4 linked regions of the Notamacropus eugenii genome follow. The protein of the gene in region 3 interacts with the protein of the main gene of each other region in a pairwise test. Links are inferred from orthologs where the notes say so. Each region holds a gene or a part of one and is shown on either strand. Other genes may lie near its edges.

The links.
Region 1: the proteins of CARD9 (region 3) and MFAP1 interact in binary tests that used the Homo sapiens proteins (3 or more experiments, as listed by UniProt). The two-hybrid records come from large-scale screens. The link is inferred for Notamacropus eugenii from reciprocal best matches to the Homo sapiens genes CARD9 and MFAP1.
Region 2: the proteins of CARD9 (region 3) and CDCA7L interact in binary tests that used the Homo sapiens proteins (3 or more experiments, as listed by UniProt). The link is inferred for Notamacropus eugenii from reciprocal best matches to the Homo sapiens genes CARD9 and CDCA7L.
Region 4: the proteins of CARD9 (region 3) and dual specificity protein phosphatase 13B-like interact in binary tests that used the Homo sapiens proteins (3 or more experiments, as listed by UniProt). The two-hybrid records come from large-scale screens. The link is inferred for Notamacropus eugenii from reciprocal best matches to the Homo sapiens genes CARD9 and DUSP13B.

What each region holds. Positions count from the first base shown.
Region 1 is NC_092878.1:54,058,569-54,066,987, reverse strand, and holds the start of MFAP1 (microfibrillar-associated protein 1), read right to left. Parts: upstream 3,675-8,419; 5' UTR 3,503-3,674; coding exon 3,424-3,502; intron 3-3,423; coding exon 1-2. Other genes in the region: WDR76 (WD repeat-containing protein 76), read left to right, coding at 8,402-8,419. UniProt on the Homo sapiens protein: Involved in pre-mRNA splicing as a component of the spliceosome.
Region 2 is NC_092874.1:14,239,837-14,247,420, reverse strand, and holds the start of CDCA7L (cell division cycle-associated 7-like protein), read left to right. Parts: upstream 1-4,199; 5' UTR 4,200-4,422; coding exon 4,423-4,446; intron 4,447-7,584. UniProt on the Homo sapiens protein: Plays a role in transcriptional regulation as a repressor that inhibits monoamine oxidase A (MAOA) activity and gene expression by binding to the promoter.
Region 3 is NC_092872.1:489,795,307-489,803,212, forward strand, and holds the start of CARD9 (caspase recruitment domain-containing protein 9), read left to right. Parts: upstream 1-4,785; 5' UTR 4,786-4,888; exon of another isoform or gene 4,889-4,933; intron 4,934-7,906. UniProt on the Homo sapiens protein: Adapter protein that plays a key role in innate immune response against fungi by forming signaling complexes downstream of C-type lectin receptors.
Region 4 is NC_092872.1:235,271,061-235,278,857, reverse strand, and holds the start of dual specificity protein phosphatase 13B-like, read right to left. Parts: upstream 3,386-7,797; 5' UTR 3,297-3,385; exon of another isoform or gene 3,277-3,296; intron 2,212-3,276; exon of another isoform or gene 2,149-2,211; coding exon of another isoform or gene 2,126-2,148; intron 569-2,125; 5' UTR 550-568; coding exon 335-549; intron 1-334. Other genes in the region: dual specificity protein phosphatase 13B-like, read right to left, coding at 7,370-7,608. UniProt on the Homo sapiens protein: Dual specificity phosphatase that dephosphorylates MAPK8/JNK and MAPK14/p38, but not MAPK1/ERK2, in vitro. Exhibits intrinsic phosphatase activity towards both phospho-seryl/threonyl and -tyrosyl residues, with similar specific activities in vitro.

The sequences.
Region 1 (8,419 bases), on a different chromosome or scaffold from region 3:
CCCTGGATGAGGAAGGTAACTCATTAGTTTCCAAAACACTCTTTGCAGACACTCCTGACATCACAATTACAACATGAAAACTTATCTATAACATTCCATTTCTCTCTTAATCTCTAGTAAATTCTATTAAATGAATTTATTTATTCTTGTGTACCAGCACTAAGGGGAGATACATTTAGTTCACAGGATAGGATTTGGCACTAGAAAGGACTTTAGCCCAGGAGTTCTTAACCAAAGACAACTTAAGATAATATGGGCTTACTGATGAGTTTTAGCAGCTTATATGGCTAGTTCTATGCATAAAGAACAGAAGTCTGTCAATTGTGTAAAGGATGTGTAGGATAGCATGGAGGATAGAAGATGTATTAGGAGAATCCTGAACAGCTTAGGCAGGCAGCAAGGAGGGCCTGTACTATACAGTAGTATAGTACAGTAGCAATGGGAAAAAAGGGTAGGAGGAATACAAGAGATGACAGAGATGAAATTAACATGCCTTGGTACCTGAGTGGCTATGAAAGGTAAAAAAAAAAAAAAGAGTCAACAGTAACATCATGGTTTTGAACATGGGCAAATGGTAGAGCTATTGAAATAATGAAGTTGGGTAGAGGAATAGATTTTTGGAAAAATAAGTTTTGATTTCAGATCTGTTAGTCTGAGATGTCTACTACAAAAGTAGAGATTCTGTAGACAAAAAGATGTGTTTAGAACTCAGGGCTATTATCTATGTAGAGGTAATAGTGAATGAGATTATTAGATGAAAGACTGAAGAAAGAACAGAAGAGGGTTTATAATAGATGGTCAGGGAGATGAAGAATTAGTAAAGGAAACAGAGAGGTAGTTTATTTCATCACAACAGAAATGTGACATTTTTGATGGTAAGTGGAAGAAAGAGCTATTATACCGGAGGGGACTGGTTAACAAGTACTGAATGTTGCAGAGTGCTCTTGGAGAATGAGGACCAAAAACTGACATTTGATTTGGTGATTAGGATGGGCGGGGGCCTTTGAAAGCACAGCTGTGATAGAAAAGGTGGTGAGGAAGTGGAAGTATTAGGTGAAAGCAAAAGTTCTGCATTTCTAACTTGCTGCTAGACATTCTGCCAGCCCCACAAAATCAATGTCTAAAACTAATCATTTTTCGTTACCTCAGCTGCACCCCTACCTGACTTCCTATTTTTATTATCATTTTGGTTTAAAACCTTAAAGTAGTCTTTAACTCTTCCCTCTCCTTACATCTAGTCTTGATTCTTCCTTCCTCAATATCTTTTGAATTCATCCCTTCATTTCCATTTCTACAACTTCTATCCTAGTTTAATCCCTTATCTGTGGGATATGGGGATAGAGCTAGAGCAGGTCTGTCCTTCTCCTCCACCATCTTGGCTCAGTCCCAACGTAAGCACTTAACTAGACTGCTGTAATTGTTTAGCTGGCCTCCTTGTTTTTTTGCTTTTGACCCTTCCAATTCATTTGCACACTGATCTAAGATGAATTTTCCAAAATTGATTCAATGTCCTCCAACCTTTAATGGCTCCATGATTGCCTTGTTCTCTCCAAAGTTACAAATGTTCTTAGCTGCCAAATGCAATGGCCTTTTCTTTATCCTCATTCTCCTTGACCTCTCTTCAGCCTCTGACACTGTTGATCACTTTCCCCTCCTTGATGTTCTCTTCGAGGTTTTGGGGGTACTACTCTCTCCTGGTCCTCCTCATATCTGACTGCTCCTTCTCTGTCTCCTTTGTTGACCCTTTTCTACATTTCAGTTGTTGATCTCATCAGCTCCCATAGATTTAATTACCACTTCTGTGCTGATGACTCTCAAAACTACCTACCTACCCCAATTTCTCTGCTGACCTTTAATCTTGGATCTCTAATTGTCTTTCAGACATCTCCAAATGGATGTCCAGTAGACATCTTAAACTCAAATTATGTCCAAAATGGAACTCTATCTTTCCCCCTAAACTCTTAATCCCCTCCGCACTCGGGCCACAAATGTACAGAGCAACCTCATCCTCCCTGGTCTTCAACCTAGCAATCCAGGAGTCATCCTGGACTCCTCACTATCTCTCAACTCCCACACCCAAGCTGGTGCTAAGACCTGTGTCAATTTCACCTTTGCAACTTCTCTTGAATATGGTCCCCTTCTTTTCTCTGACACTGCCACCACTCTGCTGCCCGCATCACGTCACACCTGGATTACTGTAATAGTCTGCTGGTGGGTCTGCCCGTCTCAGATTTTTCCCTATTATAGGTATGACCTCCATTCAGCCACTGGTAAGTCCAATCATGCCACCCATCCCCATATTCAAACTCCAGTGGCTTCTTATTGCCTCCAGAATCAAATGTAAAATGCTCTGTCATTCAAAGCCCATCATAATCGAGCCCCCTCCTACCTCCTTCTTTCCAGTCTTTTTATACTTTCCTCCCCAAAGAGTACTCCTTGATTTAGTGACACTGGTCTCCTAGTTCCACCAACAACACACTTCATCTCTCAGCTCTGGGCATTTTCTCTGATCGTCCCCCACGCCTGGAATGTTCTCCCTCCTCCCCTCTGACTACCGACTTCCCTAGCTTAAGTTCCAACTAAATTCCACCTTCTACAGGAAGCCTTTCCCAACCCCTCTCAATTTCAGTGCCTTTCCTCTGTTAACAATTTCCTATTTATCTGGTATCATAGCTTGTTCAATTTCTTTATTTGCGTTGTCTCCCCGTTACATTGTAACCTCGTTGAAGGCAGACGCTGGCTTTGGTCTTTTTGTAATCCCACCCATTAGTACAGCGTGTGTCACACAGCTGGGGCTTAATAAATGTTTATTCATTTACAGACCACACCACAACGTGTCCATCCTTTATTACTCAATTCATCCTCCCCCTTGCTGCCTTCTCTAATTAGCCACAGCGCCGTTCTTAGGACACTTATTTTGTATTATAAATATTTACGTATGCATTTATGCACGCAACTCATCCTGTCACTCTTTCTCCGCCTCCCTCCCCCCTTACAGTAACACTGTAAGCTTTCTGAGGGCAAGGTTCCTCTACTTTATAAGTGTATACACTCATGATCGGACCCAGACAATCAACGTCCGCCTGCAGAACGAGGGGAGGAGGAGGACGGGGTGTGTGCAAGTCCCTGCGGTGAGGACCGCGGACTCAGAGGGCTGGGGTTAGAAGGAGGTCTGGGAGTAAAGTTGGCTTCATGACCCATAAATGGGGCTCAGGAGAAGACTGATGAAGGGCAGGTCAAAGTGGTAACGATGAGGGACAGGCTGGAGGAAGCTCCGAAGGAAAGCCAGAAATTGGGGGGGCCGGCTCTGGTGTAGCGTGCTTGGGGGGGTAGGAGTCGGGGGTCGCAGGGCACCGAAGCACGGGGAAAAAGGGGGGTCGCTGGCTGTCAGAAAACCCGGCGGGAAGGTTTTGGGCCCCTTACCTTTCTCATTGCGAACGGGGACGGCCCCAGCCGTGGAATGAATGGGGGGCTGTTTCATGAGGGCGCTCGGGACCGACATGATGGCAATAGCGGCGGCGGCTGCCTTTCCAGAACCTGAGACGAAGAACAGTCAACACAGACAACGTACAACGACCTCCCTTCTCTTCCGGATGTAGCAGCGAGTCCGGGAGCCCTGAGGAACCGGAAGTGCACCACAGAGCGCTTGATTGGTGAATTGTGGGATCGTGGATGACTTAGGGGGACGGCCCGGGGAGGAGAGTCGCGCGGGCTGTCAGTGCGCAGGCGTCGAGTCACGTGACCTGCAGATCGGGGCGGTGCCTGCGCCTGCGGGCGGGAAATTCGCTTTTTCCCAAGTGTCCTCGCCCTTTTTCCCCTTGGGTTCGGAGGAAGGGAGTGGAAATCTCAGGTGGGACTAGGGGTGTCAGAAAGGAACACGCGTGTGAGGAGTGGGAGGTGGTTTCTCGTTGGTTCGAGAGGTGGGGTAGGCCCTTGCGCAGTGGAAGGGCGTTGCGTCCTCGGCTTGGCCCACGGCCGCGAGCGTGAGGGACGGCTGGGTTGTGAGCCTCGGCCCTGCCACCGGCACTCCAGATCAGAGGATCCAGGGCGGAAGGGACCCCGAAGGTGGGCTGAGGCTCAGGAGCAGCCTTTAGTAGGGGGTGAGAGCCTCCGTGGAGGGTGCGAGCGAGGGTGGCCCGGGAGCTCCTGGATTTAACTGGTTTGAATGTTTGCAGCTTTTCAAGTTCCTTGATTGACTGTTGTAGCTTTTTACTTTCACTTAATATTTTATCTGATTTTATCCCACCCCTTTACCATGAAAGTCAGGGCCTCTTCCCACCCTTTCACCACAAATCTCTACATTCCCACCAGGGGGTCCCCGGGTGTTGAGAAATAGGTTGGAGGGAGGCAGGGGAGGCCTCTGGGCCCCAAATGCCGTCTTCTCGGTCCAGCTGGAGCCTATTGTGTTCCTTCCGTCCGTTTGCACTGCGGTCCATAAGCCCGTAGTTACTGCGCATCTGTTGTTGGGGAGCGCCGGAAGGGGGTGCAAAGAAGTGAAGGAAAATCTAGCTTTCTGGCATCTAAGAGAAGTAAATAATGCAGATTTGTGAATGGATTGTGTTCTTTTGGAATAAAGGACTCAGCTTAGCTGATGAGAAAGGGTATTCCAGGTACCCTCGAGCTGGAGGTGAGCAGTAGAGTGCCGTGGGGCGGCAGTAGGGGCAGTTTAAAAACTGGTAATTGTTTTAGCCTTGGATTATAACCAGATCTTCTATCTTTAAATGTAAAGGCTGCTGAACACAGAGTTTGATTGCTTTGTTGATACACAATAGCTGACCTTGTGATTCTAGAAGGTTTTTTAATCATGCATAAAACATACGCTTTTAGACCCAGACAAACCAGTAAATAAAACCACCTGTTGTTGGCCTGTTGTTTAGATTAGAGGACTGGGAGAGAAGGATATTTTTCCCGTTTCAGAAATCGTTCTCAGCTGTACTTCAAAATCAGGACTAATCAGAAGGTAGATATGACGTTTAGGGAATGTAATGTGGAATAGATCTGAGACGAATTTTTGCTAGTCTGCCTTCTAGTTTTCCCAGCAATTTTTGGCTAAATAATGTATGTTTTCTGCTTTGTCAGAGTTACTGAATTCTACAGTGTCCTACTGAAGTTTTATCATTTTTTTTACCATTTCAGGCAATATAATGGTTATAAGGAATATGACTGTAGCTGGAAGAGAACTCCCTCATTTTATAAATGAGGAACATGAGGCTTAGAGGGGAAGTGAATTGCCCAAGAGCACACTGCACAAAAAACATTTCCAGGTTTTTTGATTTGTCCATTTTTTATCATTAGGGATTTTGAACATCTTTTCATGTAGTTCTTAACCTGTATTTTTTTTCAAAAATTGTTTATGACCTGTTGACACTAATAAAGTATCAAGGGAAATTTATTGCAGCAGAGTTCAGAGGAATTGAACACGTTGGCCAAAGCGGGCCTCCTTCCTCTTTTGGGGAGGAGTGAGTGTCAGATACATAAGTGAGATTGGCTTTATACTGTTAGCTCAGGACAGATCATCCCATCAAGAGACGGATTGGTCCATTGTCCATTAGGTCATGATCTTCTCTAAATGCCCATTACATAAGCACCCCTGGTGAGATCCCCCCTCCCACACATTCTTTAACATAGGACCCATGATCAGAAAATGGAGGGATAATATTATGCCGAGAGTGTCTGTTTATATACTTGAGGTTCATTAAGCAAACTCAGTGAAGAAAAGCCTTCTCCTGGTAACTCTAGGTCATTTTTCCCTGACTAGTTCCAGCTAACTGTAGATTTGAAACTTTGTAATTTTCTGAAGGCCACTGTCTGTCTCTTGATTGGTTGAGTCCACCTACAGTCAGCTAGGCTTATTATCTGAATTCTCACTGACTTCATCAACTAATAATAACTTCTGTGGAAACTTAACTTTTGCTGTCTCTTACATGACCTGTGGCCATTCCTCATTGGGGAGTGTAAATTAATTTTATAGCTGTCTATCAGTTCTTTATATGTTCTGGAAGATAAATCTTTATCAGATACATTACAAATCTGTTTTCCTCACTCTTTTTATTTTAGACTAGATATTTTTTAGTTTCTTGTGCAAAGTTTTTATTCTTGCATATTCAAACCCACTGAACTTTGTCTACTAATTTCTTCCCCTTTTTTTGTTTTTTAAAAAAAGTTTTTTTTTTCCATTATTGGAACAAATATTTCTTTTCCTTGCAATTTTTAAAATAATTTATAAGAATACTTAGATCACATTTTCTGTTTGCTTAACAGGTTTATCAAAGCTTTTTTCTTCTCATTAGATATTAACACTGTTGACTACCACCTTTTGGATACCACTTTCTTGGTTTTTCCACTTCTTTCACTGTCTCTTTCTCCTCTTTGTGGTATTGCCTATTTTTATATTTTTGGCCCTCTCTCATTTCTATACTATTTCCCTTGGCAATTTGATTAATCCCACCACTTCAGCTTCCACTTACTGAGATAACTCATCTGACTCCTCTTCTATGTCCAGATCTGTATCTCCTTCTGTCTACAGAATACCTCTACCTAATTTTCCATTGACACTTGAAACTCAATATATCTAAACCTGAGCTGTTACCAAAATACAATTGTTTACTATAAACATTTTTTAAAAGCCAATTACTTTTTTACTGTGCCTTACTCAGACCAAACCTGGACTATTACCTGTGGTTTTGGGGCATCAAAACACATTATACTGCACAAAACTGTACATAATTTCAGGGAGGACATTGATAAGCTGATCCAGTAGAGGTAGAACAACATGGTGAAGGGCCTCGATTTCATGTGTCCACTTGAAAGTTTGGTTAAAAGACCCAAACAGGCTAGGTGATATAGAAATTCATATTGTTTATTTCCTTAGCTAGCAGATACATGCATACACAGAGCCAAAACATGATTTCTGACTGATAAAAGAATGACCAGCCTTAAACAGGTTTTAGAGCAATCTCAACTCAGCATGTCTATGTCTCTCGAATTTATGATCTCCATATATGTTTAACCATAGTATGAGAAAAGGAATTTTCTTAATTGAATAGGTTGTAAATACAATAAGATAAGAGAGTTGACAAAGTGTCGATTGAAATTACAACCCAGGATATCTGTTTTCTTTACCATTAACATGATATAACACAGTATATGTTCATAAAATATTAAGATAAGAGAAAGTCCCTTTATTCTAGGTAGTGTCTGCTTAAGGCCCGCTGTCCTTGGTAGGCATTAATAGAAGAATGCTCAGGTCAGCTCTTGTTGACACGGAGGCGTTCTCAGCGTTTACTTAGATCTGTTGCTTCTTCTGGTTGATTAGTTGAGGCTCTGGCCCTTGAGGTTCCAATGATATTACATTATTATCACGTTATATGAAGGCCTGTTGAAGGATGTTTCACCTGGAGAGGTAAAAGGACAGCCACACTTTGAGTTCTTGTGACTTTTTTGAGTGGGTTGTTACAGCCATGTTCATAATTCTCAATCATTTCTAAAAGAAAACAGTCTTATTCTTCACTTTGGAGGGCAGAAATAGGAGTGATGAGCAGATGTTGCAGAGGCCAATTTAGCTTGGTGTTTAGTTAGAGCTACCCCAAAGTGTAACGGCTGCCTTGGACCATTGAGTTTCCTCCAAGGGCAGACTTTCAGGCAGAGGCCAACTGGCCATTTGTCGGTTGTGTTGAAGAAGGAATCATTTCTCAGGTGCCATTTGGACCAGGAGGACACTGAGGTCCCTTTCAACTCTGAGAATCTGCAGTTCTGCACTGACAGGCTCATCTTTATATGCTGTTTTAAGGTTTTCAAAGCGTGACAACCCAGTGACAAAGGGGAGGGCGCTTCCATTTGGATGAGACGTAAACCAAGGTCCTGTAAGATTGCCTAAGACACAAAGGGACGAAGTGCACAAGCCGAGCTCTTAATGTCGCTTTGCGGGACCAGACCCGCACACCCTCTCACTGCCCAGGCAGGGTTTGCCGTGGCGGAGGGCGCCCTAGCCCCCTCCGCATTGGCTCTGTCCAGTGGCAGGTGTGTAGAGCCCAGGACCGGGATCCGGAAGATTGCTCTGTCTGAGGTCGGATCTGAGCTCAGCCCCGTTAGCCCTGAGAACCTGGGCGAGTCACTTAACCTTCTTGGTCTTGGAGAAGGAAATGGCCCAGCACTCGGGTAACTTAGCCAAGTGATCCCACATGGCATGACGAAGGGACTGAAGGCGATGTGACCACTACCACCGGTTCTCTCCAGGCAGCGCCTGGTTTAGCTTCCGCCTCCCGGTTCCGCCTCCCGGTCCCGCCCACCGGCCGGGCCGGGCCTCCTCCGCCCGAGCACCGGCCTTCTCTGTCCCCGCCCTGGCGGGCTGCCTTCTCTTGGCGGGCGCTCTTGGCGGGAAGGCAGCTGGAGCTGGGAGAGAATGGCAGGGTCCGGGGAG
Region 2 (7,584 bases), on a different chromosome or scaffold from region 3:
GATCGTGGGGAGTCCAGGATGACTCCCAGGTTGGGAGCCTGGCAGATTGAGAGGATAGTGGTACCTTCTACAGTAATAGGGAACATAGGAGGGCAGGGTAAGGTTTAGGGGGAAAGATCATGAGTTCTTTGGATCATTAGATCATTAGTTTAAGATGCCTATTGGACATCCAGTTTGAGAAGTCTGAAAGGCAGGTGGAGATGGGAGACTGGAGATCAGCAGAAAGACTGACCCCAATCTGATGAAAAGGATCCATCCAGTCTTTACCTGAAGTCCTCCGATAAGGGGGAATTCATTCCTTCTCAAAGCAGCTTAATCTACTTTGGAATACCTCAGTGTAGGGTCTATCTGGTTTCCCTCTTTAGAACCTCCTCTCATCTCTTTTCACTCTGTTTCTTGGGACTAAACCAAATATGTCAAGACCTTCCTCAATGTTCAATACTTAGAGACAACTTGTGTCTTTGTGCATATGGCAGGTGGACATATTGAATGTCTTTTACAATCCCTTCTGAGTCTAAGGAACTGCAAAGTAAATGGTGCTGGCTTTGGAGTCAAAAAGAACTAGGTCTATGTCCTGTTCCGAAGTTTGCCAGCTGGTACCCTTAGGCTCATCACTTAGGTTGTATGTAGTAAGCACTTAATAAATGCTTATTGACAGCCTCAATTCCTTCATCTTTAAGGCTTACTTTACAAACACTTTATCTGATTTGATCCTCACGACAGCTCTGGGTGGTAGGTGCTATTAATAGCCTCATTTAAGCGATGAGCAAACTAAGGCAGATAGCAGGTAAATGTCTTTCCCAGCTAATAAGTCTCTGAGGTTGGATTTGAATTCAGGTCTTCCTGATTCCAGGTCCTGCACTCTGTGCACTATACCCACCTATTTGCCTATCCTTATCTCTTCCTCCTCCTCCATCATTATTTCTTCCTCCTCCATCTTCATCTTCATCATCATCATCATCATCTCTTTCTCCTCTTCTTCTCCCCCACCCCAACATCTTATTTTCTTATCTTTTCCAGGGGCATTCAGGTCAAAACTGTTCTGAGCCAAGCCATTCTCTGGCTCTTATTCTTTGATGTTTAATGTTTGAAGAATGACTGCACAGATTGATCACTTCTGTTTGCAGTTGAATAAACGTATGGTCAGCTCATTCTCTGTAGGTTTATTCAAAGAGTCCTCTGTTCATCTCCAGAAGCAGATAGGAGGGCAGGAATGACAGATATCTCTTCTTATTCCCATGAGATGGGTATTTTCTTCAGCTGGACCTGTCTTTGAGTACAAGCCGTGGGAGGACCTATAGGATGGCCATCCCCTAAGCAACAGCCCAGTAAAATTTGGAAAGGGAGGGATAGCTTGGGAGGGATGGGTCTTCTGGCTACAGCCAGGCTCAGGACAGCGCAGAGTGGAGGGAGCCATGGTCGTAGTGTCAGAGGACCAGGGTTTGATTCCTGGCAGTGTCACTTAGTACTTTGGTCACCCTAGGCAAGTCCCTTGGCCTCAACTGAGATAGCATGTATAATGCTTTGAAGGTCATAAAATATTATGTAAATGCTAGACATTACCATCATCATCATCAATAATATTAATAAAAGAGAGAATCAGACTCAAGGTCACTACTACTCCATTCCAGCTCTTGACTGATGATCCTAAAAATCTGTATAAAATCAGTGATAACAATAAGGTAAAGCCTGGGGATTTATACTCTCAAAAATGCATTTCACTGCTATTTTAAAATTTTATTTTAAGCAAACTTAAAGGTTTCGTTCTTTTTCAAATACTAAAATCTCAGAAAGGGAAGGCACCTCAATGAGCCGTCAGTCCCATCCCTACCTGACCAGCAATACCCTCGACAACATTGCCGACAAGCGGCCGACTGGCCACATTTTGAGGGGGAAAAATCTATACCTGCACAAAAACATCTTTCATGTCTCTGGTTACAAAATTTTTAAATCTTCATAAAAAGCTGGCTCCATCCACCCACCCACCCCCTCCTCCTGCCACTGAGGTTAGTTCGATCCCGATGCTTCATTTTTTTTGCCCATGGAACACAGACTGAGTCATACTTTCTTCTCTGGTCCTTTCCCATTGGCTGTGATGTTTGGATCACTTAAAAATCAAACATTAAAAAGGGCAGAATGGAACTTTTAATAACACCAAATAAAATGGTCTCATTAAATGTTTCAGTTAAAATGAGGTAAATTCTTTTCCAAAGCCAGCTAAGAGGACTTAACCAAGTGATCAAGCAGGGGGCCCTGGGGCAGTATCCTCACATAGGTTTTAAAAAGCAACATTTAGACTTCCAGCGATGGTCAGTAATTAACAACTTGAAACTTGCAAAGCAAGTCCAGGACAGTTCTACAAAGTTGCTTCAAAACAACTGCCTTTGGCAGGAGCCCTCAATCTTCCCTCCTTAAAAGATAACATGTGTGCCTTGGGTAACCCAACTGGAGTTTCTGACTTTTTTGTTTTAAAATAAAAAACACATCAATTCAGCCAATTATAAAATTGACCAGCCCCCATTTCTATTTGAAATCAATCATTTCACCTCTTGACTCAGTACCAGAAAGTCTCTCCGAGTCCTCGTTGGGCTGTCTATTCACTCTCTTTAACGTTGCCTCTTTGGAGCTAGTGTTTACTTTATGTGAACCTTGTTCTTCTGGGTCAGCCCCCACCCCACTTCGCACAATTTTATAATCGCTGTGTCCCTTACGCTTGTTCATCTTACCCAAAGGATTCTGTTACACGATGTAGCCCAGTTTAACTGCTTGTTTACAATTGTCTACAAAGCTGCTGTGACAATCTTTGTATCTATAGCCCTTCTGGGGTCGGTTGTATTTAAAAGTATACTCCCAGGGAATGTGACTAAAAATTAATGACAATATTAGCTAGCATTCTATATAGCACTTTATGATTTACAAAGAATTTGACAAATATCCCCACAACTACACTTGGCCAGGGTCACACAGCTAGTAAGTGTCCAAGGTCACATTTGAACTCAGGAATTAATGAATCAAAGGGCATGTCTTTTGGTTCACTTTTACTGTGTATTTCCAGTTCTGAGCCTCAGTTGCTTTACTCGCATTCGCTACCCACTAGAAGTAAGGAAAATGCTTGAGAAACCTTTCAGCATTTCCGAAAGGGCGCTCGAGAGAAAGCTGAATTCATCTCCTAAGCCCCTCTCCTTTTACACTCAGGGAAGTTAGGGCCCATCAGGGTCAGACGAAGGGGCGGTCATTTCCACTGTCTCTTGACTGCAGATCCAGTGGTGCTCTAGCCATCGTCCCAAGAATGACAGCCGACGACCTCCCTTACTGGGACTCAAATGCATTGAGAATTGTTTTTCTTTTGGACTCGGGCACAGTGAGTAAAAAAGTGGCGTCTTGTCACTAAACTCTTCATTCTGAAAACCCAAAGCTTTCCTCCCCATCCACCACTGGAGAGAAAATGAAATTCGGCGCTGGGTCCTCCCACTCGCTCCTTCAACAATGAGTCCCATTCAAGCCAAGGGCTGGCATCCGCTGTGCCCGCGGCGCCTGGGTTCCCTCTGAAGGATACAGAGGTGCTTGTGGCAACTTTGTAACTCGGGAAAGAGCGGAGCACGAACATTTCCACGTGATGCATTAGGAGCTTTGCTGAGCGCCATGCTTTGCAAAAGTGGAGGCTACAAGCAAGGACAGCCAGCCTCCCACGAGCGTGGCTCTCCCAAAAGCTAGAGCCAAGCCCTTGCCCGGGCTGGGGCTGCGGCGGCCCTGGCCAGGCTTGCACAGCCGTGGGCACATGGGCGTGCACTGGCAGCCAGCTCCCAACGCGCGCCCCTTCCTAAGCAAAGCCCACCCCAAGTGCAGAGCGGGTCACAAAGCCCCCCAGAAACACCAGCCCGGGGCGGGTGGGGCTCCGGGGTCCGCTGCAGTGCTCGTCCAGGGGACGAGCGGCCCCGGCTCCTTCCGTGCCCGAGCCCCGGCCCAGGTGGCTGCGATCCCGGGCCAGGAGGGCCCGTCCCCCTAGCACTCTCCCGCGCAGAGAGCCGATCGGACCGCTCCACTGGCGCCCCACACTACGGGGGGGACGCCGCCACCTCGGCCCGGCCAGCCGTCGCCCACGCGCGGCCGCCGCCCCTCCCTCGCGCCCCCGGCCGGGACGAGCGTGGAAGGCCACGGCTGCGAGGCCGGGCGCCACGCGCGGGGCTCGCGGCGCGCCCGGAGCGGCCCGAGGCGGGCGGCCTGGCGGCCGTCTCCCCCCCACGGCCGGGAGCCGAGTGCGATCGCTCAGGGGCCCGCGCGTAGCCCGCCCGCCGCTCGGCGTCTGCATTCGGACGTGGGCCGAGAGTGCGGGCTGGCCCCGATACTTTGTAGCGGCTGCGCCCGGGCCGGCCGTTCGCGAACGTCCGCGGCGCGCCCAGCCCGGCCCGGCTAGGAGCGAGCATGGAGCCGGCGGCGGCTGCAGAGGTGAGGCTCGGGGCTGCACGCATGGCCCCTCCGGGCCTTCCCCGGGCGCGCCGGGAGCGCTGCTGGCCACGATGGGTCTGTCTCGTGTTGCACTTGGGCCCGCGTGCGCGCGTGTGCCCCGTGCCCGTGGGTAGGGGCTTGGGGACGCTTCCCGAGCGAGAGCCCCTGGATTCAGGGCTGAAAGGAAGGGATTTCCGGGGACCCTCCCCGTGCACCCCCCGGTTGGGTAAGATGCCCAGCAGACGTTGGGTTGGTTTCTCAGATGCCCCCTTGCCCCGACCCGCCCAGTGAAACACGCTGTTCTGGTCAGTAAGAAATCTGAGTGGAAAAGGAAGGTGAGGGAGCGCGCTGGCCCAGACGGGGTCCCCCAGGACCCCGCGATTGTTTGTAAACTAAAAAGAACGGGGTCAGGGGTGGGAAGGAAGGGGGGGCAGGGCTTGGTGGGGGACCCCAGGGACGCTCGGACCGGGGACCGGGGGCGGGGGAACTTGGAAGGTGGGGCACGGAACTGAGATGCCCCGCTTGTGCAGTGCCCAGCCAGTGTTGATTTAGCGCGCTCCCATTTGGCCATTGGCTGAAGCTGCTCCCCTGGCCAGACACCAAGCCCCTGCTTGGAAAAAGCTTCCAACGGAATAGTTGCCGCTCCTCACATTATTTAATCAAACCGCCGGAAAGTTTGTATTTTGTCTGTGTTGGCAAGCCTATCTTGTGAGATGTATTTGGGGTTTTAGAAACTTTTTAAATGAGGGGAAGAAATAAAAACAAGAAAAATACACATTATTTGTCTGGGCTGGATGGAGGAAGCCAGAATTTCTAGTAGAGTGCTCCTTGTGTGAAACTTGGCTGTGTTAGTGATGCTTCTGGCCTGGGCTCCCTTAGGACCATCCAAGGGGTCATCGAGTCACCAGGATCCTGAAGGCTTAGCAGGGGAAGGCACTGGAGGGGACCTGTTGGGACCCTGAACCCCAGAGACAGCCGGCTCTTGGGAGCTGGAAGGCTTTGGGGCCAGTGGACCTGGCTTCCAATCTTGTCTCCCGGCTGTTCTCAGCCCCCAAGTGGGGAAGTCCATAGAATCCTAGATTAGAACTAAAAAGAGACTTTAGACACCATCTCCCCCAGCCCCCTCACTTCCCAAAGGAGGATTGGGAAGTGGAGAAGTGACTGACTTGGTATCAAGTCTGAGAGCTCTTCCTGATAGGAACGTAAGGGTGCCAGGAGCATTTTGTTAATCAGTTGGATGTGTCAGGACCGAGTCAACTCTGAGGGCTCACAGAGGTAAACGTAGTGCCTGTCCTCAGGGAGCTCACCTTCTGCGTAAAACTAGACTAAAACAAGCGCAGCGCAAGCATTTAATCAGTTTCTTTTCAATTCATGAACTTATAATTTTCTCAGACAAAACCTGGGAGCCACATTATCTGAAGATAGTATATTGTACTGGGAAGAAGGGGGCAGCTGAATTGGAGATTGGAATGTATTATGAGAAAACCTGTATCCCTCCCTTCCCTCTACCACCTCTTCCTTCTCCCTCCCTCCCCTCTTTCCCTTCCTCCTTTTCTGTCTCCTCCCTTTTTCCCCCTTCCCTCTCTTCTTCCTCCTCCCTCTTCCCCCTTTTCCCCCCACCCTCTCTCCTCTTTCCCCTTTCCCCCATCCCCTCTGTCCTTTCTCTCTCAAGTATGTTGAATAAACTTTTTAACTGTGCAGAGTTAAACCCGCAGATCCCAGCCAACACATTCTTTACAAGTTGGAACAAATTGCCATATATAAGATCAGGTGTTTTAAAGAACGGATGAGCTGTACAGATTAAGGTGTTTTTTCTAGTGGAAATGTGCCCTGCTCATCCTCTCAGTGAAAGCCATTTATTTGCAATTCCAGTGAGTGGAGAAAGACTGGGTGGACTGGGACAAAGGTGGTAGCCCTTAGTGACTGTGCCCTCCCCCACTCTGGACCTCAGTTTTCTTCTCTGTAAAGTTAATGGCTGCCAGAGTCCCTTCCAGCTGTGATTCTGATAGCTTTCCTACATGGACCTGCCCTTCCAACTCTCAAATTCGAGGATTGTGTTTAAATAAAACTAGAATAAGATTTGTGGAAGGAAAAGTAGGTTACCATAGCCTGACCAGCACTGAGCTCCAGTAAGCCTTGGCTTTCGGTTGAGTGGAACATAAGTTCCTGAGGGCAGGCTGTGATTTCTCTCTTTGTGCCCAGTGTGTAGTACAGCCATCCCAAAAGCTGGTGAATTGAGCTCATTCAAAAGACTGAAGATGTGGTTTCCTAGAAAAGCAAATAGCTGGGGAAAGAAAAACCTTAAAGCTGCTCCTGGAGGTTGGGAAGAGAAAGGAGAAAAGAGATTGGGAGCTGGGAATCACGGACTTCCTTGGCTCCTTCTGCCTTGGAATTCCACCAGTTAATGAAGGATTGGATTAGAAATCGACAGAATGGAAGAATGCTCTAAGGTCTCAGGATTGTGGCTGCTGGTGTGATGGTGACCTTGGGCAAGTCACTTAACTCTGTTTGCTGTAATCATGGGATGAGGAAATACCAAACCACCCCTGTATCTTTGCCAAGAAAACCCTGTGGACAATATGGTCCCACAGGGTCCCAGAGTCAGACACAGCTGACCCACAACCTAACTGCTTTGTCCTTGTGCCACTTGGCTGTTATTCTGCACACCTAACCTCAGAAGTTACCTGAGGAATTCAGATTTGTATGGAATTCTGGGCCTCTCTTCCTCCCAGCCTTGGAGGTCTCTGCTTTTGACCTTGGGGGTTGTGGCTTTTTCTGCACAAAAGCATGGAAGAGGGTAAGGAATCCTGTGGGTACCGCAGGTGACGCACGTTTCAATTAGCCTGGGAACTACCACTGGCTCTCCATGAATGCTGTGGGTTTTCATTGATTTAGCTGCAAATCTGGGTGGAGGAAGGAGCTACTGGGTTTAGACCCCTAGCACCTCCATTTAGGAATACCTGCATGCACTTAAGTCACTTACATTCTTTGTGCCTCAGTTGCCACATCTGTAAAATGGCTTCAGACTAGACAGCCTCTAAAGGCCTTTCTGGTCGTTTGTAGAGTAAGATCATTTGTGTACATTGGCCTAAATTAGTAAAAGGAGAGCTCAGGGATGTGCCCAGGAGCTAGGCCTGG
Region 3 (7,906 bases):
TTAGACTAGGTCAGAGGTGTCAAATATGTGGCCCGTTAACACTACCAGATGCAGCCCCAACCAGATAAAAATGTGATTAGGAATATTTAACAAATAAGTAAAAAATGCAGCAAAACATAGATAACATTACATTTTAAAACTAAGTTAAGGGATCTTTATGTATGCATTGACACCCCTGGACTAGATCTCCAAAGTATCTTCCAGTGTTGAGTTCTGTAACCCTATTATCTGGTCTGGGCACTTGTCTTCATATACATAAATGACTAGCCATTCTGAACTTTCGAGTTTTTTGTTTCTGTTAGGGGAAAAGGGGAAGCATGTTGATTTTTTTATTATTGTCAAAAAGTGGGATGCTCTAATAGGCTAGAAATTTTTGAGAAAGTAGCCAAAGGTCTCTGGATGGAAATCAAGGCATCGTTTGAAGAGAAGAAGATGCTCAAATGCCTTCCTCTCAGTTCAGAGGAAGATGCCTCCATTTCTTTCTCCCCTCCAGACCGTACAGGCTGACCCCATTCCTGTTTTCCTGGAATCTGGTGGTAGCTGGGTTTTGGTACAGTGTGATTCTGTACTACAGAGTGACAGCATTCAGGGTGCTTTAAGCCACTCTAGGTGCTGACTCACATTGCTGGAACATGACACCCCTGGAAGACTGATGATTTTTCTAAGCTAGATCATTCTCCCATTTTCTTTTTCTTGCCCTTTTGGTAAATCATTATGCTTAGAGGGGTTGCTTTTATTTGTACACCTGACCAAAACTCGTATCTTTTAGTTTTCCCTCTCTTGATAAAAATAATATCTGGTAATTTGTTTTTGTGTGGTCCTGTGATTTAATCCTCATAGGGAAATTCCCTTCACTGATTCAGACCAATTCATGGGGGGACCTTTTAAAGAGTTAGCTGGGGCACTGAGAAAATGTACTCATGGTTACACAGCTAATAACAGAGGCAAGATTGGAGCTTGGGTCTTCCTGGTTTTGTCGATTCTGATAAACTACCTTATAATTGTTTTTGTTTTAAGTTTCACCTTCCTGTGAGGTTAGTGGGGTAGGTATTTTGTTATTCTTGGTCTTCTTTCACCTTGAACCGTCCCCTTCCAATCTTCAAGCCTGCCTTTCATTTGCAAGCGGCTGGGATGTGGGGAAACCCAGGAAGCTACAGACAATTCACAACTAAAGTTAACTCCTCTATATACATATACAGGACATTCCCATTGTTGACCTGAAAACTTGGTTAAAGAAAAGGCAACAGGCTAAATGCATACATTTTATGATTTAATTAATTAATCAGTTCCCCATAAAGAAAACAGTTACATAGCGCTATGGAGTCAGAGGTGACTGACTACCTAGTACAGAAATCATCTGTCTTAAGTACATTTTGTCGTGAGAAAGAAACTCTCCTAATTAAGCAAATCATAAATTGAGTAAGACGGGACAATTAACAAAGCAATGTCAGTCAGGCCTTGGGATTCCAGGCTGGGTAAGCATATGTCTCAGTGATAAGAAAAGAAATCCCACCACTAGTAAGTGGCAGGCTTCCTGCCCTAAACAGATAACTGACACAGGAAGGGGCAAACAATGTTCAATAGAAACCCAGGATGCCTATATTTTCTTTACCATTAATATGCCATAACATAGTATGTGTCTATAGATAATAAGATATAAAGGGAAGTCCCATTATTTAAGATAGTATCTTAGGTTAAAGGTCTCCCAAGGAATGCAGTCAGCTTTGGCTGGCTTTTGCTGACATAGGAAGAGGCATTCTCTGAGTTTGCTTCAGAGAGAACAAAGAGATTATTCCAAAATTTTATATTAAATATTATCACCATGTATCTCATTAATACCCGATGATGGCCCACCAGCAAAAATTCCAAGGGCTAAAGATTCCAAGGACAATTCTTCCAAGAAGCTAGTTCAAAGAAACAGACTGGGTAGCAGTTAGGTGAGAGGTAAAATTATCTTAGGGTGGGACCAGGTGAAAAAGTCTTATATCATGACATAGCTTCCACTTCTCTCTCCCGGAACACCATATCTACTTTCTTTCATGTTAGCAGGAAAATGTCTAGGAGGAGGAGTTTAGTTTAACTGGATTAACTAGGCATTAATAATGGGCCTTTGGCTCCCACCCTTCCTGTTTGAGATATGCACTGTCCAGGCAGATACCCAGCAGTTGATAGACATTCATGATGCATATTTGTCCCTCCCAAATTCCATCATTCACCATTGCTGCATAAAGAAACACCATATTTGGAGATTTTTGCCTCACATTTTTCTGTTCTCCCCCCCATTCCCCCGAATTCCTAGAAAATCAAGTATTTAGTGAGTCCCTACTATGCACCAGATAACTATGTTAGGTACTAGGGAATACAAGAATGAAATACCCACTCTCAAGGAACTTATAATGGGGGAGAAAACAAATAACTAAAAATACAGCATAATTACTGGTTCTTCCAAAAATATACCTTGCATAAGGTGAATAAATGCAAATCTATAGAAAGTAGTTAAATTCAAGTTAGTTTAGCTGGGGAGGGAATTGAGGGGATTAGGAAAGGCTTCCAAATCCTAGGACAATGGAGTTGTAAATTATGTTGACTCACCTAGGAGCAGAGAGGTCACATATGCTTTTAAAAGTAGTCTGCCAAGGCAGGCAACATGTTGCAGTGGGAAGGGTGAAGCTGGACTTTTGCCCTAGTATAGAAAATGTGGAGACTAAGAAAGTTAGCAGATTGAGAGAAAATTAACTTCTGTTGCATAGGAGATGGGATCTCAAAAGCTAGCCAAGCGATGGTGAAGTAGTTTGGGTTACAGGGACAGAAGACTGAAGTTTCTTTGTTCTATCCCTGTCTCCTGTCCCTTAAAAAAAAAAAAATTCCCTCCATCTTTACCCTGTCCTCTCTCCAAGGCTTCACCTTTCTTACAAGGGGACCAGACCAACTTCTACCTCCTCCCTCCCCAATCAAGGTTGAGTAAAGAGCCTGGTTTGTTTCCTTTAGGTTATGTGAGAAGGAACCTCCCCAACACTTAATCTAGTGGAATACAAAGAGCATGGACCTTCAGATCTCATAGGCTGAACTGGATGACCTCTGGGGTCCCTTGCAGCTTTGAAATTCTTGTCTTCTAAGCCACTGAAGCAACAAATTCACCCTCCCACTCAACTGAGTTTCTGTTATTTCTGATATTTCTACATCATTACAAAGTTAATTTTAGGGCACATTCCATATCCCTTGCCCCAGACAGTGTTTGCCGCATGAACTAAAATTCCCAGATATGGCTCTGGGGAAGAATACAAATTTTGGAATCAAAAGACATGTGTTTGAATCCTGACTTGGTTCTGAATCCTGATACCACTACCACTGCTACTACCTACTGCTTAATTCCTGTGTGACCTTGGGCAAGTCACTTTAAACCTGTTTGGACCTCAGTTTCCTCATTCAGCAAAAGAGGACTAGGTGACTTCTAGGCACCTTCTAAATCTATAGTCCTAGGATTCTAACTTCCCTGCCTGGTGGAACAGGGAAGATATGGCTGCTGGCAGCTTAGGGGCAAAGTCCAGAGGAGGAATTCTGTCTTTGGGGAAAGAATGTATGTCAGCTGTCAGTTTGGTGGCCACCTGTGGCTCAGATATCAAGAGGTGGTAAGGGCATAACCGCAGTCACCCATGTTCTGGTAAAATCAGCCTGCGGGCCATCTTTCGCACCTAATAGGCTGCTAACCTCAGAGTCTGCCTTTGCTTATGGTGTTGGCAGGTTTATTGATAATGCAAAAACGCACCACCTTCTGGTTAAACTGGTGCTAACAAGGCCATGGCCAGGGGTTTCATTGTTGTATGGCTTTGTTCTCTTTTTCCCTGGCCACTCCTTAACCAGAGCTGTTAACTAGAAATTCTTTTACCTGGGGCAAAACTAATTCAGGGAGTTGTGTGGGGTGGGGGAGGAATGCCAAATGTAGTGTCAGTAAACAGGATGGTCTGACCAGGGGAACTGGGGGTGACAGTGACAGGGGAACTGGGGGTGACAGTGACAGCTCAGGCAACAGTTTGCCCGTCAGAGCAGTTGCATTGGGAGAGGAGAAGACCTGTTCACCAAGAAATACTATCTATGCCCACTTTGGGATGGGCCCCAGACAAGGAATATTCTGGTGACAGAACCTGGTAAGGAAGCAGGATTGCACAAGCTAGCAGAGGACTTTGAGATGTGAAGTAGTGGGGTAAAGGTCCTGAAGGAGGAGGGAGAAGGTGAGGATCCCCTCCCAATCACAAAATGTAGGTGCTGAAGTAAAGCCCTGGTTATCTTACCCTAGTTAGAGTTACTGTTTACAAAAGGGACAGGTGCACCTTTCCTTCCTCTAAAGAAACATTTTAATGCCTAAATCCTGCAGACAGTAGCACAGATGGCTGGTTATTCTTATTAATACATGCTCTAAGTACAAGGCAGGACACTCACCTTGCATGGAGGGGTGGAGGGAAGTGCCAAGCCAGGATACAGTGTTTCTCTGTGGCTCTCCATCCCCCTGAACCATGGTAAACACCTGAGGAGCCCAGAGGTGCTGACAATGCAAAATGGTTCCCCAAAGGGTGCTGAGATACCACATACCTCAAGTTCTCCTCAAAAATAGATTACTTCTCCTTTTCCAAACTCCGCCCTCTGCCTCTCTCCCTCCCAGAACTCTGATGGACCAGTCAGAAGAAGAAATACCAGCAAAAAATGTCTTGACTGGAACCCCATCAGGAAGTACCTCATAGCAGAGGTTTTCCCAGCTGACTCCACCTTCCCTCAGATTATTGCGTAGCCAGTAGGGTTTCCTATCAAGGTCGGAGGACCAAGGAAATGGGCTGACTAGCACATTGAAGGCTAAATTATAGCCAAGCTGGAAGCTCCAAGAACAAACTGAGAGGTAAGAAGGCTTTGTTATCCTAAGGGGGAGTATGGGGAAGTGTGTAAGTGAGGGAAGTGGGGGAGGGGAGGAAGTGGAGGAGGGATAGTTGGCCAGAAGGAATTAATTTAAAGCAAGGGAAGGTCATTAACCTCTCGCTGAGTAGTCTAATAGGACAGATGCACAATTAGGGACAGGCAGTTTGACACAGTGGAAAGAGTACTGTGTCTGGAGCCAGAGGAATGGAGTTCAAATCCTATTTCTGAAACTTTCTACCTGTGTGACCTTGGCCATGTCACTTAACCTCCTTGGTCCTCCGTTTCCTCATATGTAATATGAGGTTGGACTAGATGACTTCTGAGGTCCCTTCTGGCTCTAAGGCTCTCTCTAGGATCCTATGATAGGGGGTTTCACGTACCCCGGGAGCCAGTCAAGCCAGTCGCTACCAGGCAGGACCAGAATCTTCTGTGTTTATTTCCTCTCACACCTGATTAGAATGCTGGATTTCAGATGTTTCATATCTACTTGGTACCTTGAATCAAATTAAATGTCACAAAGTTGGGTGTGGTGCACTTGGATTTTGGTCCAACAAGAAGACAAAAAGAGTTAGAGTGTTCCCTGTGCCAGTTTCCCGTTGAGTGTAAGAATCAGCTCTCATTTTGACGGAAGTCCCATATGAAAAGGAAGGATAGGAGAAAGTTGAGAAACTAAGATGAAAGGTCATTTGCAAATTCAGTCAGCCAAGGCAGCTTGGAAAGGATTTCAAGGGTAACCTGGATAATTTGAGTCAAAAATTTGCTCTGATCAAAACCAGCAGAGGTTAGGCACTGTGCTAAGCACTGGGGATACAAAAAGAGGCAAAAAGCAGTCCCTGCTCCGAGGGAGCTTACAAGCTAATGAAAGTCTCTGTCTCCCTTGTTTTGTCCTTCCAATCGCTTGTGTGCCTGCTGAGGGGAGGGATAGCCTTTGCAAAGTTTCTCCTCCTGCCTCACTCAGCTGGTAAGGATCTTCAGCTTTTCTGGTCAGTGGAGAGGAATTTACAGAGCTTGTAAGAGTAACAGACATAGTATTCTAAAAACTAGGATGAATTACGAAAACAATCTCACTCCTAGAAAACTGCTCATGAAACTCACCTCCATCCTCTCAGGTAGAGGGGCGAGGGACTGTGGGTGAGGGAAGTGATAATGCCACTAGATGGGACACTTTGTTAGCTCTGCTGAAATGTTGGGGTTATTGGTTGGGGATGTGGAGGGAGGACAGATTAAAGGAAAATAATTGTGGTATAAAAACAAAAGGTAACAATAAAACTTTAAAAAAAATTAGTGTACACAAAACTGCCCACAACGGCTGCAAAGTGTGCCACTATATGATCTTTTCAAACCCCTGTTTCCAGGGGGTTTGGAGTAAGTCATTAAGTTAGTATTTTCACTGAGTTTATAAAGGTAAAGTTCAGAACAGGAAAATATCCTGAGAACTATAGATTATTAGAGTCTGTAGTTAGACAGATTAAATAGAGTCTTGAGATAATCCAGCCAACCACTTTATTTTATAGATGAGGAAACCACGCCTCTGTAAGTTTACATGTCTTGGCCATAGCTCTTCAGTGGCAGAACCAGGACATGAGCCCAGGTCTTATGGAGGCCATGTGTAGTTTCCCTTCTAATGCACTATGGTATCTCTTTAAGAGACCAGTAAGGTGGATATGCCATGTGCTTCTAAAGTCTTTTTTTTTTTTTTTAGAGAAACTAGGCTAGCTCTATAAGAAAGCAGACTAGGGGAAATGAGTGTCTGAATAGCTATATTTAATACTAATACAGCACTCTTGCTTTCTGCTGAAGGCCCAGGCTTAATGACCTGGCTTCTCAGGTGACAGGGATCATAAAAAGGAATATTTCATCACTCCATAGCCAGGCAACGAGAAAGGAAAAATGCAATGGAAAAGAATTAAAGGAAATGAGTCTGTTGTAAATCAGAGAGCAGAGATAGCTGTGTCACTGCCTCACTCATAAGGAAGTAGCCTTGTGCAGCTAATTTCCTTTATTAGCTGTAAATAGTGGGAAGGTTACTTTCAAAATGTGGAAGGCTCCCCAGTGCCCACAGGGACAATTGAGGGACAGAAATCAAGTGGGCCAAGTATTTATTAATGCGCCCATCACATGCCCAATGCTTAAAATTTTGTTGGGAACACATTTAAAGTAAATGGAATGGTGCAGAACAGATTGTGTGGCAGATAATTCTTGCCAAGGTCAATGAGGCTGGAGAAGGCTTCTTTGCTTAGACCTCACACAGTACTTCCTCAATACTAAATCATGGCAGATTGTGTTTTCTAATCATGTGTTTGTGTCATCCCCCAACTGGAGATGTCCCTACTGGACTGTGAACTCCATAGGCTCAGGGATGTATCTCCCCCAACACCTAACAAAGTGTCCCAGATACACACAAAGCTGTAGCAGGTAAGACTAATGGTCACTGGTATAGGAAAGGATGTTTTCTCCCCATAGGGAGACATCCATCTTCCCCTTGGGAGGGAAGGTTGTCTCTTGACTGCCAGTGATTTCCTAAAGAGCCTTCTAAGGACTACCCCAGGAAAGAAACCCATCTTGTTTGGATGTGGCTACCTTGAAAGAAGAAATAAATCCACCCGTCCAAATCCCAAACTCCTCCCCAAGAGACCTGTTGCTTTCATGTTCTTCTTCCAGTTCATTCCCTCTCCCCCTACCAAGCTGGTACCATTATACCCTGCTGAGGCATATAACTCCCAAACCACCTGGCCTGGGGGACCAGCATCAGTGGTAGAACAAGTAGTAATGATGTCTTGTGTTGTCCAATCAATTAATTAATAAACATTTATTATGCACTATTGTGTGCCAGGCACTGTGCTAGGCACAGAGGAAACAAAAGAAGCAAGAGACAGTCCCTGCTCTCAAGGAGCTTATGATCCAATGGGAGTCTCTATCTTCCTTGCATTGTCCCCAATCTTTCCAATAAAGTTTTCCCTAGATATTGGAATTCCCAGGTATAGTTTATGCCTATTCTTTT
Region 4 (7,797 bases), about 250 Mb from region 3:
CCCTGCACTGAGAACCCCCTCTAAGGGGAGGGGATTATCTGTGTGAACCAGCCTGGAGAATTCACCAAAATGGCTCTTTCCAAAACTGGGGCCCTCTATCAGGAGCAGAGAGATGCACTGAGGGCTTCAGTTTTAAGGTAGAAAGGAGATGGACTCTTGGGGAGCCATGTCCCCCACTTTGCCCCCTTCTTTCCTTTGCTACCAGGGAGAGGTACCTAGGGGCTGAGCCTTTCAACGATTCCTCAGGAAAAAGTCATCCCTGAGAAGCCCATCACTGCTTCCTCAGAGGTGTGTCTCCCTCCCATCATTGTTAAGTTGGGGAAGGTGGGCTTACGCGTCTCCCAGGTAGAGGTTAGGCCAGACCTCATTGATGTGACTCATCGAGGAGGCCCTTCGAATCCACAGCAGGCGCTGCAGGTAGGCCAGGGTGGGTGTCTGGTAGGGGACAAGGTTCTGCGTGCTAACTCGGCTTGCCCCATGGATCTTGGGCCTCCGCAGGTCCTGTCTCTGCAGTGAGTCCATCCTGGAAAACAGGGGAGGGCATCCCATTGTTGTCCTTGTGCAGGCCCTGGGGGAGGGAGGAGGGAAGTGGAAGGGAAGGGGGGAGGAGGAATAAGTCCCAGAATCCAGGAAAAGCTGTCTCTCCCATCACCACGAGGAAAGATACCTGGTTTTTTGTTTTGTTTGTGTTTTTATAGAGGGAGTGAGAGACATCTGTCTCTCTTAGCAGTGAAGAGATGAGAGAAGAGAGACTTTTATATAATCAACCATGGAAGGGGAGTTGGGAAATGGCTTTGGGAAAAATGAATGGGTGTTGGGAGTTTAGTTAATTGAATGGGGCTCTGAGTATAAAAGGGGGTTGGACTGGGTGATCTTTAAAATTCTCTCCCATTATGTAATTCCATACCAACTTTCTTTCCTTCACCTCTGCCTTTCCTGGGTGGCAAATAGAGATCATTTTGCTAGGATCAGGAAGACAGAGGCAAGGCTATGGGTCTTGCCCAATGCCTCCCCAGCGTTTTTTGCTTGGGCTTAGCCATGAGACAGAGGAGATAAGGGACCCTTGCAGGGCTTATGTCATCCCTTGCCCCTCAGGGCTCTCAGTTTGTTTCAAGGGAAGCTAGATTTCCATTCTTTCTTCTCATAGACTAGCACCTCCTTGCCCATTAACACCCAGTAGAGGCCACCCAGGATCTCAGTACTGTGGCCCATTGGCTACAGAATTTAGCCACATACTTGTCTGGGGCCTAAACAGGTCAAGCTAACCTTTTCTAGACCTTTTCCAGAGTCCTACTCATGGATAGCAGAGTGCAGTGGTGACAAGGGACAATATCATTCTTGGATTGCCCAGGACTTGGCACATAGTAGGTACTGAATTAAATTGAACAGGTGATTTTTCCCCTAATGTACTCCTCAGCAAAACCCACTTCCCTTTCCTCAGCAAAACAGGACCAGAAATCTGGAAGTAAGGAGGGACCTCAGTCCCTCCCATCCTAATCAACTTCCTTGTCCCAACTCCCTGAGAGTCAGATTGGAATGGACTAGCTTGGAGTTTGAATTGTTTTTCCTTCATTTTAATGGATGGACATGATCTATAAGCATCCTGGGGAAAAGGGTTAAGTATGTGACCCTTCCCTCTTGAAAATTCTGTGATTCTATGACTTTTTTAATTTATTATTGTTATTATTACTACTATGGAATATATACTGTCTTCCATTAACTGAACTTCAAAGTATTGTTTTATTAAAAGAAAAAAGAAAAAAAAAGGTCTACCAGTCAAGGAAAGCTATAAGCTTCCTTTGTAACTTCTATTACACCAGGGTTCTTGTTCTGATTGTTAGGCTGCTCCTGATTTAGGAGATAAAGGGAAATGAGTTCAAGGAACAATTTGGAAATTAAGGGGGTATATAATTTGTTATTTGTAGGAATACGTACTAGTCTTTTCCCAAGTAGCAGCCTTGTCTGCTGCCTTGGAGAGGGGTGATACCTTAAGGCTGTCATTCTAAACCTTTATGACAACTAGCTGATGAGTTGGACAAGACTCAGAGGATAGGATACAAGCTGAGTGAAAGGTGTCTAAAAGAAAATGATGTGACTTCACAATTTTAACAAGAACCAATTTTACCTGGGCCAGGTCCACCACCTCATGTTGGAAATAAGCCAGGCTGGAAGAGTTCAGTAAACATGGAAGGCTTGCTGTCTCCTGGGCTTCTTTTCATAGTACATAGTGGATACAGTACTTGCATGTAAGTCCCTAGACCCAAGGGGCACCTGGCCCTGGGTGTAGGGGGTAGGCAAGGGAATCCAAATCCTTCTCACAATTTTCCCAGGTAAGCTTGGGGACCACACTCACATGAGGCTGAAGCAGCTAGGAACTGAAGTGACTTCTACCTGGAGCAGGGACAGTAATGTCCTATTCTATTCTCTGTCTGCCACCTGGGCCGTACCCAAGAGTGTGGCTGATGTAACCACAGGACTCTACAGGTTCCTCTCCCAGTATCAGGTGTTCTTTGCTGACTCTGCCCCTGGGACTCCTGGTGAAAATAGTCATAAACTTCCCATCCTTCAATTCCCCATTGAGACCCTGACCTCTGATAGCAGTGAACCTTCCCATCTGATAGAGGAAAGGTTAGACATAGCCTTAACTTTCCTTCTCTCCTTCTTTAAATTCCTGAACTGTATCCAGAACCATTATTCTGGGGTGACAGAGTATGTTTCCAGGGCCCTAGTGGGCACAGAAATGGGGACACTGGCTGTATCTTGTCCAGGAAAGTGGGTTATCTGGATAGCTAGCTATACAAAGAAATCCTAAGGAAGTTGGAGCTTATAAAGCTATGGGGTCATATATATCAGGGTCTGGTGTCCCTCTGGCTTTGACCTCCCATCCTGCATACTGTGGCTAGTCCATGTGGGATGGAGGTTGGAGGTGGTGCATTCTTTCTCAGAGCACCCCACCCCCCCCATTCAGGGTAATCACATATGGGACAACATAAGAGGAAATCTTCCACTTGATGGGATAAAGGCCTATAATCTCAGCTTAAAACCTGGCAGCAGGGGTAAAGAGAAACCTATAGAACCTGAATGACCTGTCCAAACTCCTACAGCCAGCTGATGGTAGAAATGGTTGTTGACCCAGAGAGTTGAACTCCCAGGAAACACTGACTGTGGGGTTCTGCAGATTTCACAGGTTAAAATCGGAACTAAGCTCAAGCCCACGGAAGTACTGCCTGACCCTGGAAGAGACCTCCAACCCTTCCCCAATAATGGGCATCTTACCTATATATGACCCCACCTACCTAGAGCATGGTCTAGGGCTTGAGTCTGGAGGCTCTGGGGGCCAGGGCAGTGCTGGACTCAACAGTAGGGATCAGAACAGGGGGTGGAGGTTCCATCTGAGAACACAGATGCTGTGAAGCGTCTAGAATTCCAGCTGGTTGACATGGAAGTTTCTGGGGGGGGAGGGGGGAGCAGGAGGGAGGAGGGAGGCCCTGAGCTATCCCTGCCCAGAAGAGGAGCCCGTCTTGAGCTACAGCTTCATCAAGCTGTCTCAAGGCATCGATGTACTCATCAGCTAGTCCAGGACAGATTGCAGAGTAAGCGGCCTCATATGATGTCATTTAAAGGGGCCCCGGAGAAGGGGTGTTGGCAGGAAAGAAGGGAGGTTACAGTGGGTGCCAATAACAAACCACCAACAACAGGAGGTAACCAGGGACTGGCCCCGCCAATTGGCCAGGCTTGGTCATCCCAGGGCTCTTGCAGCCTTGATTCTGATCAGGTTGAGTCTGGGGGCTGCTTTCAGGAAGCTCTTGCCCCCTGAATCCAGACACTCTGTCTCCCTGCTATAATTCTGATGGAGAGACCTGGTCCCACCCAACTCTCCCTTTGCCAAGCCTTTCTCTGGCCTCCCAGAATCAAACATAGGGTAAGACTACCCTCCCGTGGCCAACCCCATGCTCTGCAGCCCAACTGCATGGAAACCCCAATATCTCAGACCCAAGAAGACCTTTAAACAATACAACAACCCTCCTTCCCCTGGGACACTCACTTCAACCAACAGCTTAGCACCTTTCGCTGCAGAAAGGATTTTTGAGCAGAGAAATCCTGGACAGCTTCAGAGGCCCTCCCCATTTCTCACCAGAGAAATCATTTTAACCTAGCCCAGGGAAACAGAGGATTCAAATTGGTCTCTAATTTTTGTGGCCTGTAAGACCTTGGGCAAGTCACTTTCTCAGTTCAGCATCTGTAAAATGGCTACTGAAGTCCTTTCTTGTTCAAGATCCCTAATTCTGGCCTGTAAGGTTCCTTTTAATTACAAATCAAGGATCCTAGGGATCCTTTCCAGGGACTACCCTGATCAGGGTGAGAAGGGATGAGGATAACAGGGGAATCCTTATTCTTCCAAGGGATATTTCCCCACCCACCCACCCCCTCTACCCTGTTGGCACTGAGGCTCTGGATTTCCAGGGGCAAACAAATACAGAGGCAGATCTCTACACTGGTTGCTGTTTGCCCTGGGCTGCTTTTGGCCTGCTCCTAGCCTCTGCCTTGTCTTAAGACCAGATCCAAGTCATTTCTGTTGGGATTTTTGGTCTGGGGGAGCTGAAGGGTCAGGATTTGTGCTTATAGAAAATAATCCAATCTAGCCTAGGGGAGGATAAAATTGTAAAGAGCTTCAAAAGAGAAAATTTATTCTGAGATTCTTAACCTGAAGTCAGTGATTTTTTTTTAATAGTTTGATAAGTATTGAATCTTATATATTTTAATCCTATGCATAAGTATTATAATCCTATGTATTTTATTTTCTGCATTTAAAAACATTCTGAGGAGTTTACAGGCTTCATTAGATCCTTCCAAAGCAGTCCAGGAAACACGCACATACAAAGGGTTAAGAACCCCTGATATAAAAAAGTGAAATCATGAGGGCTCTTACAACCTTCTCTCTCACAGGTAGAAAGAAATGCTGCCTTCCATCCAGGGTCAGCCACTCCTGGGCAGCTCCCTTTCTCTTACCCTCAATCCCATCCCTTGTCTCCATCTTTCATCTGAGAAGCTCCCTCCCTTCCCCCACGGATCCCTAAAAATCTGAGAACAGAGGAACCCATGGGTCATCCATTATTAACTTAAGACATTGAGACTCAAGGGAGGTAATTGACTGGCCCAGGATCACTCGCTTAAGAAGAAACAATTCCACTCCAGATCTTTCCTATCTCAAGTCCCACACTTAGAAGACTATAGATTCAGAGGTGGAAGGGACCTTAGTGGTCTAGTCTTCTCTCTTGATTTTGGGTGAGGGAGGAGGATGAGGACTGAGCTGGTGATTTCTTTGGTAAAGGTTTTTCTCAGGTGAGAAAACTCAATAAGTCAGTCTCAGGGAGTCACCTGGTGCAGGAAGAGTTTAAGTGACTTATCCGGGGTCACGTGGCCAAGGACTTAAACCCAAGTTGTCCTGACTTCAAGATCAGTTCTCTAGCTGATATGCTATGAATGCCTCTCCCTATTTTACAGATGAAGAAACTGAGGCCTAGAAGAATTTAAATAATTTAAAGATAGTGACAGACTTAGGATTTGAACCCACTACTTCAAACTACAGACATAGTGTGCTTTCCCTTATACCATACTGGCTCCCTAATCACTATACCACACTATCAGGTTACCTCTCAGGTGTAATTAATTGTTCCTTTGCCATCCTCATATAATTACACAGCTCAGGATTGTCTTGTCTGTGCTGAGAAGAGAAGGGTGATGGGTCACACTGTTAACTATCAGTTTTCCTCTGTCTCTGACTCCTATCTATTTGTCTGTGTGGGTCAGGTGGCTCTAACTCTCCCCACACAGCCAGCTACCACAACCCACGTGTGTCCCTGCCACCCCCAAGCACATGCTACCAAGGGGCTGTGCCCTTCGAGGCATGCCTAGAATGGGGTGAGGAGGGGGAGGCACTCACCTGTGGAGGGGGCCTAGCCTGGTTCCAGCCGATGGCTATAGTCTCCCAATAGGCAGGTTCCCAGCTGCCTGTCTCTGCTCTGTTGAGGCTGCTTCTATTTTGGATTTGTGTTTAATTATAAACCATGATCTGCTTCCCCCCCTTCCGCCCTCCTCTTCTTACTACCCACCCTACCCGGGGCAATCAGTCCCGTTCATTCCCAGGAGGGGAAGTTGCAGAGATGATGGCATGGCAAGGGTGTGAGACTGAGCCCTGTCTGGCAGTCCTGGCACCTGCCACCTGCCACCACCCCCTCTGACCCATAATCAGAACTCTGCACACTGAGGATACGGCAAGTCTAGCCACAGCCTCAGCTATATATATGGTATGTGTCAATGATTGTTGGGAGCTGGGGGTGGGAGGAATGCAGGAGAAGGCTGTAAGCAGCTAATCTCTGGCCAAGGGGATTTAAAAATGTGTGGGTATTCTTTTCAAGTCTTTATTAGTATGTAGAAATAGAGGGTAGAAAACAAAATGGAACAAGGCTCATGATTATGGTCTTGTACCACTTAGGACTGGAGGTGTGATGGAGAAAGGAAACTGGGCTCACCAACAGACCACCTGTTCTTGGCCACCTGGATGTCCAGTCCCTTCCTGGTCTGTTACACCTTCTCTCCTTTCCCCTGCCCCCTCTACCCTTGGTTGTACCACAAAGAAAGATGAGCAGAGAGCAAAGCTAAGAAAAGTGTGGAAAGAGAGAAGCTTGAATGCTATTCAAATGAGATAATATTTGTAAAGCATGGTGCCTAGCACATAGTAGGTGCTATGTCAATGCTTATTATGCCCTCTATCTTCACTGAGTTGACTGTGTTCACCCTCAGGATGCCACATCACAGGTGAAAATAGCAAGGAGCCTGGGAGGATTTTGCCAGGAAATGAAGTCCAGTTCCTTGGCCTATGCTTTGCAAAAGCTAGATGTCCTTTCTGTAAGAATCTGACCCATAATTCTGTCCAGGTGAAGGATGGGCCACTGTTTGCAGCCTAGAGTTCAGAGAAGTGGCTTTTGGGAAAGGTTATACAGAGGAATGACTATCGTATATTTCCTGGACCCTGAACAGAAATTCAGTTTGTGACCAGAACCTGCTCAGAGGTCTTCACATCTCCAACCCATTAGAACCTTTGAAAAATCTCTCAAAATATCTCAAAGGGAACCTTGGCAAAGTTCTCCTATCTCACCTCACAGTGTCTCTCCACCATTTTGATCCCTGCCAACTTCAGTCTTCACAGGTACACATGTGCACAGTTCTAAATGAAAAAAAGTCCTAGCTCTCAGATCTGCACCCTTCCAATACATTCTTAAGGGAAGATAACCCCATTGGTAGACCCTTTGAACCTAGTGAAATGTCAGTAAACCTTTGATATTTTTTAAAAACAGTCATTTTATTTTCAGGGCAGAGGGGTGGGTGGCATCAGTTTCTCTCTGCTCCCTTTTTGCTGTTCCTGGCTAAGTTGGAGGTCCAGGTCACGCAGCTGGGAAAGAAACCCCCGATTGGGGCAGATGTTTCGATGGACACTTACTGTCCTCAGGGCTTCTACCAGGGTCAGCTGTTTCCTGAGCATCAGGAAGGCAAGGACCAGAGTAGCAGAGCGGCTGAGCCCCATGGCACAGTGAACAAGCACCTTCCCTGGAAAGAATCAGAGCATCAGAGATTTAGAAATGGAGATTTAGAAATTAGAGGCCATCAAGTACAATTCTCTTCTTTTACAAATGAGGAACTGAGGCCAACAGATATTAAGTGACTTGCCCAGGGTCACACAACTAGTAGGTATCTAAAGCTGGATTTGAACTCAGGTTTTCTTGATACCAAATTCAA